2 linked regions of the Nothobranchius furzeri genome follow. The protein of the gene in region 1 binds, or shares a complex with, the protein of each later gene. Links are inferred from orthologs where the notes say so. Each region holds a gene or a part of one and is shown on either strand. Other genes may lie near its edges.

Region 1 (4,120 bases):
CTTTGTTACTTCGTCCATCGTCTTGTAATGTCAAGTGCTGGTTGGAACCCTCTTTGGAGAAAAGAAAAAAAAAGTAATAAATTAACATGTCAAGAAAATCATCCGTGCTCTCCTGGCTGGTTTATGCAAGTCCCTGACACTCAGCTTCTGGACAAACGGAATCTCCAAATCATCCAAGAGTGTTCAAATTGAGAAAGTCTGAGAATTTATTCGCAAACAACCCTCTCAGGCTCAAACTCAATTTTGATAAAAGGACGAAAAAATAAGTCCTTCAGGGGTAATTCTGAGTTAAAAAATGCTCATGAAATACGTATGTGGAGTAACCAGGTAGGTAGGTTTTAACTGTTACAAATCTGCAACGCCTGCCTCCAGAGGGTTAAACATCTGAGCAAACACACACGCGTCTGATGATGCATCAGCTGAGTCGAATCCCCTCCTGTGTGAACTCCAACTGATATAAACTCCAGATCACATTTTCCCAGCACTTAATTTTCTCTACTGCTCTCTGATCAGTGTCTGGGTCAGCTTTATAGCTGCAAACTGAGCTGCCTAACTGATCTGGAAACAGTTTCCCCACAACACTGATAAACATCTGTTCCCAAACTTAACACATCTAACTTGAGCCCTTCGGTGAGTTCAGATCAAATCCGAAAGGTTGTAAACAGAACTGGATGCAAATCCTTGCAGCTTTTGCGTTTCGACTCATTCATTCACAAAACAAGTAGAAGATATAAAGTTACATCCAGCCTGGTTTGTAATGAACCTTCTCACGGTGCATGCCTAACCAGTGACGAGGACGGTGAACGTCTGTAACCTGAGCGCTGCCACTTTAATGCTAAAAGCCGCTCCAGTTACCACTCAGGAAGCCTTCCATTAGCTGGTGGCTCTTTCCTCTTTCTCCATCTTTAGTGTGTTTTTCTCTGCGTGTGCAGGGAGAGCAGCAGGAAGGGAGGGGTGTCAGCTAAACTTACAGGATGATTTACAACTTGGAGGACGGCAGGTTGATTTTATCCTGCTTGGCTGTCACATAACATATTTTAACAACAGGATCCAAACAGCTTAATAATTCACCAAAAGAGAAAAGGGAGGTTATCTCCATCTTTTATGCAGTCATTACTCCCGCATGGGGCCCTGACTGTAAAGTTATACACGCAAATATTAACAGACCACAAATAATGACGTAAAATAATAACTATTTAGAATAAAGCCTGACTATATAAAATTATAATCCACTATAAAAATATGAAGTTTAATATAAATATTTAAATTAATCAATGTATTTAGTTGCATCTAAAAGTAAATGTTTTTTGTTTTAAATAAATACTGGACCGAATTCAGACTGCTGTAAAACAAAAGTATCTCACCCAAAAAATAAATAAATAAAGCATAGTGAGTAGAGTCCCTATTTAAGGTCTTGGATTAGAATCATTTTAACCATTTGTGGAGGAAACCCAAACAGAATCATTTATAAATAATCTATGGTTAAATTAACTCCTAATCTATCAAATGGATCCTGAGATGTTTACTTAGTTTAAAACAACCACTTTCGTGCTTGGATTTCAACAAATAGATGTCACGTTAAACATATTTGTACTTAAATTAAAAATGTTTAGATTCAACTCTATATAAGATTTTAAGATGTAACACTTGTCACGTTTATAACTTTTGAAATTATATTATTTAGTTTAGAAACATTGTCATATCCTAAATATACGGGATGAGAAGTTGTCTTTAAAAATGTCCCACCCTATTTTTTGTTTTTATGGGGAGCTAAACATGACCAAATGTACCTGCTTGTTTATTTAATATACATTTACAATCAGCACCCCATAATCTCAGTGCATGAAGTTAAAATTTCAGAAATCCATGTTTTTGCCCTCGAAGTTGCAAGAGTCAAACAAGCAGCATTTGTCTAAAGTTACTGAGGGCACCATTGTTAACAGGAAGACTACAGTATAAAGCTCGGCTGCTGCTGTGCGGAGCCATGAACTCAGAATGTCAACAGACAGAGGGGGCATTTTCAGCCAAATTAACATGACAGCATGGCACGACGGGGGGAGGAGAGGAGGGAGCCCTCCACTTATTTTAACTGCCTGGGAATCAATCTATAATATGCTCATTATTGCTGGCACCATCAGTCTGCGCAGCCTGGCTGCCTGTCATGTGCTCTGGAGCCACGCTCCTTTTACGCACACACAAATACAGCAGACTTTCTGAACTCTGCCAGGCTTTTTTTAGGAACTGGACCCGCCGATCCAAAAAGTTTCTAGCTGGACCCTTCCCAGCTTCACTTCTCTAACGCATGATTAGTGATCACGGAGCTGCTGCCCGTATACCTTGAGCTGGCTGGAGCAGCCGTACTGGATGAGCGGTGTGAACGTGGTCAGCTGCAGCTCCGCGTCCGACTGCAGCACGTTGCCGACCAGATTGGGCATCTTGGTGACGTTGTAGCCGAGACCCTGGCACATGCTGATCCGGATCGGGTCGCAGGTCATCTCCTCCTCGTCCTCGCCGAAAGCGTTGAGCGGACAAACGGAGTAGAAGAGTAGGAGGTGGAGGAGGATCGTCCCGGACATGTTCACCCCCATCAATGAACCAAGCGGCTGGGTGACCTCGGTTTAAAATACTGACCCGGTTATTATCCCCACAAAACACTGTAAGGTCGCCTTGGAAACGGGAGCACGTGGATGTATCGGTCCAGCAGGAGCGGAGCGCGTGTAATCCGTGCGTCAGTGTGCCATTCACCAACATCCGAAAATCCACAAAGCAGCAGCGAAGCGAGACGTGTGCGCGTATTTCCCGCTAATATATAATGTAAAACTTCATTTTTATAGAAAAACTGCGTTTAGAATAAATCCTCAGCTTCGTGGGGCTTTCCGTGCGCAGCTTAGTGCATAAAGGCGCAGAGAGAAACACAGCATGCAGGTCCTGTTGTGCGTCCACTGGCTGCTAAAGCGCCCAGCTCAAAACTTTTATTGTGTCTGTGAAGGGAGACTGTTTTCCCTCTGTCCGGTGGAGATCCGACCAATCCCCGCGCGGGAGTTGGGTTTCCCTGACCAACCCAGGGCTAGGAGGGCCGGATCACCATCCAGACTCCTCCCCCTTCCTTTATTTCTCCCCCTTCTGTCTCTGTTTTACCTTCTCTTGTCCCATTTCTGTTTCCATCCTTTTTTTTCTATCCCAATCTTCCTCTTTGTGCCCACTCTACTCTTCTGCAGATATTAAAAATCTTCACAACTTGTATTCATGTTAGCCTGGATAAATCTATTTTCGTTGTTTGTTTATGCAATTTCTTTGCATGTGGGTATGTTTATTGATAATTTCAGTCCCTGGTTGTGTTGTAGGACTGTTTGCAGGCTCACCACAGGTTCCACTCCCCTTCTCGTCAGCTCTAAGTGCTCCTGACATTGTAATTGAAAGTAGGGCCTTAAGTGATGCTGAAGCATCAGAAATCTGTTTTGCATTGCAATGAAAGTACATAATGGACAGGTTTTGTTTGGTCGTGGCAACCTGAGAGAAGGCCTCTCTCTTGCAGCATGAAACTCACAGTGAAGAGTGTTGTTTTGGCTTTTCAGCGTCGTCAGAGGACTCGGATGAGAAAGTGCCGGGGGCTGTTTTGTTGAGTTTTGAGAGTCTGAAAGAACATGTACTCACACTCAACATATTGGGAATACTTTACATACCAGTGTTTCAAATGAGTTGCAAATTCACTTCAGCTGCTCAAAGAGTTTTTTTTTAAATAACACTACATCAAATACTTTCTTCCAGGTTGATTTCATCCTCAGTTTGACAAATAAAGTGATTTTTTTAGCACTCAAAAGGTTCATCGGTATAATCTGATAGCAAAAGTCACAGATCAAACGTCATTCTGTCCATATCAGCAGTGATAAAGTGATAGTGATTTAAATTTGTGTGTTAGTCATGTCTTTGATCCCAAAAAATCTGATAGAACCTGCTACAATTTGTCAGGAGAGCTTAGAAAAGAGAGGAGTGTTATCAGAAACTGGATTAGGCTTGGATGGATAGGAGAAATGGTTGGGAAGTGTTTCCGGAGCATTCTGCAGTATCAGGATGCAGGGTGGCTAGCACTAGCAGAAAGAAAGATGCAGACCTCAGCTGC
Region 2 (2,619 bases), on another chromosome or scaffold:
TCAATCAATCTGTGAAATGAGAATATTAATTACTTGATATTATAATCCTATGATAGTATTTTAATAAGTAATATAACTTTAAATATTTACACTAGACTGATCACACGTAATGTTAAAGTCACATGACACATTTCCTTTTTCTGATCCAATCAGAACCTTCCAGATCTGATGCGAGGCGTGGTTTTTGTTGGTATTTGTATAATTTGCTTTTGTTGTCAAATTCTGATTTGACAGTAAATCAAAACATCCAAATTATAAAACTATGCCCCACGTCATCTTAACTTCAGTTCCAAGCGTTCTAGAGAAGTTATCGGAGTGGCCAATCCGTAACTTTCCTCTTAAAGCTGAAAGAACCTAACGACAAGCTGGATTAAATCTGTTGCCTGGATTAAATCTGTTGCATGTTCCACCTGCAGCAACGGTTCCTTCAGAATAAAAGTTTAACCATCACGACCCCTTCAGGGTCTCGCTGATGCCAATAAACTGTCGTGACCTGGGAGTAACTCAAGACTGGAAGGGTCAGCAACCGCTGCATATCTACAGGTGTCAGTTCCAAGAAGGTCCAAGCTGGACCCCCGACATTCCAGATCTAAACGGGGACTTCCGTAGGGGTACATAGACCTGCAGATGGCATCTCAATGTGTTATAATCTCCAAACCAAAGCTTAGAGCGAAACACCATTTCACTCCCATTTGGAACTAATAGTCTCTCCAGATTTGCTGGTTCTGAACATATATTCTGAGGCCAAGAAAAATGTTGGATGTTGAGAGTCTGGAAGGTGAGAAGGAGCTGCTGCCAGCTCAGCTGCACTCCTTGCAGTTGCAGGCTAAGATGTATCTGTAAGTGGCTGTGATGCGCATCCCACCGGAGCAGCGCAGCCTCACTGCCTTCAGGTTGGAGGTGCGTGGCCGGCAGCAGGAACAGGAGCTTTTGAAAGGCTGTTTGAGCACGGAGCTGAAGGAGATTAGGGGGTCTGAGCGGGTGGTGTGCCTGCAGTGGCCCTCACAGCGTGCCAGCAGCACCATCTGCAAAACAGCATGCCAGAAAAGACAGAAGATTCATCACAGGTGTTCTCATCAACCAGAGGTTCTGGCAGACAGGGCTTGCATCTGCCCAGACAAGTCCATTTGGGTTCTGAATGTCTGCGTAGACCTCCAGCAGCAAACCTGCAACCCCATCACTCCACTCAGGTTCCCACACTGACATTAGAAGAATCGTTTGGAGGATAGATAACCAGCAACTTGTCATCTCTAAGTACACACCCACACACTCCATCAGACTGTTAGACTAGAGGCCTCCCAAGTAGCATTCCGATGAGAGTCACTACATTCCTGTTGCTACCCTGAACAGCCTCCTAGGTTATGTGATCCTGTCAGCTGCTGCGTGTCACCACACACACACACACACACACACACACACACACACACACACACACACACACACACACACACACACACACACACACACACACACACACACACACACACACACACACACACACACACACACATTAAAACCAGTTCTGTTTGTGCTGACCAGAGATCAGGCTATCACTCTCTCTCTTTCTCTCTCCTTCTTTGCTTGCCCCTCTTAGTGCTTATTGTTCCTGCTTCACCTCTCACAGCTAGAGCTTCAACAGCTGTTTGCTTCACAGATTTAATGTGTCATTAGTGTAAAACACAAACATTAAAAATAAAAGTCAGGAATCCTAAAGTCTGCAGCACACCAGAGCAGATAACTGATTCTTTTCATAATGTCTCTTATCACCTATATGCAGATGACATTCAGCTGTACTGCTCCTTTAAGGATTCTGAGTTCTACAAACTGTCTGAATTACTAGAGTGTCTATCAGCGATCACCAGCTGGCTAGAAGATAACTTCCTCCAGTTAAACTCTGTGTAGGGTTAAATATTGTTGCTTTTAAGCTTAATATATTACCTTTACTTATGGCCAATAAGCTGTGATTCTCTATATAAATATAGAATATCACATCTTATTGGTTTTTGAATGTTTAATCAGAAGATTCTAGGATTCTTTGCCTTTTCAGTGATCATATCACACTTCGTATTAATTCAGACAGAATCAGGTTTATTAAAGTAAGAATTTATTTTCTAAACAATTAAAAACATGACAAGTTAACCAAGGCTACTGTGATGGATTAATCTAAATGGACGGGATGTGATGTATGGTGATTTTATGGTGTGTGTTTATCAGAACCTTGTATCTAGAATAACTGAGTTCTGGGTGAAAAGAATTTGGTCTGCATTAAACTATGGAGTTGGTTATTATCAAAACGGCACCAGACGCAATCTGGCTGTGTTCTACGTACCCCTGAGGAGACTCCCTTTCGGTTCAGAGATGTCGGGGGTGGGGTGGTGGGACCCCAAGGTACCAAAGTTCGTTGAAAAGACCTCAGTACGACCAGGTCGGTCCAGAGTTGTCTCCCGGATCACAACAGATAGATGAAATTGTTTGCATCTAGAACAGCTGTTTCTGAATAGCTGAAGGAACTGTTTTGCTGCGTCAGCTGTAGTTTCCCTCCGATGGCCAGTCAAAGTTAGCTCAACTAACAGAATGCTGACTCTCACAGAATGTTGGCGTTAAGTAAAAACTGATTTT

Evidence for each region.
Region 2: the proteins of fzd4 (region 1) and ndp are in contact, whole or in part, in a crystal structure (PDB 5BQE), measured with the Homo sapiens proteins. The link is inferred for Nothobranchius furzeri from reciprocal best matches to the Homo sapiens genes FZD4 and NDP. Residues at the interface, in NP_036325.2 of Homo sapiens: Ser51, Met52, Gln54, Asn55, Leu56, Gly57, Gln95, Phe96, Met105, Thr107, Lys109, Ile114, Asn152, His154, Met157, Cys158, Met159, Glu160, Gly161, Pro162; in NP_000257.1 of Homo sapiens: Asp33, Ser34, Pro36, Arg38, Met40, Arg41, His42, His43, Tyr44, Val45, Asp46, Lys58, Met59, Val60, Leu61, Lys102, Lys104, Leu106, Tyr122, Leu124, Ser125.

What each region holds. Positions count from the first base shown.
Region 1 is NC_091753.1:34,489,326-34,493,445, forward strand, and holds the start of fzd4 (frizzled-4), read right to left. Parts: upstream 2,822-4,120; 5' UTR 2,589-2,821; coding exon 2,337-2,588; intron 1-2,336. UniProt on the Homo sapiens protein: Receptor for Wnt proteins.
Region 2 is NC_091754.1:39,764,395-39,767,013, forward strand, and holds the end of ndp (norrin), read right to left. Parts: intron 1,026-2,619; coding exon 801-1,025; 3' UTR 643-800; downstream 1-642. UniProt on the Homo sapiens protein: Activates the canonical Wnt signaling pathway through FZD4 and LRP5 coreceptor.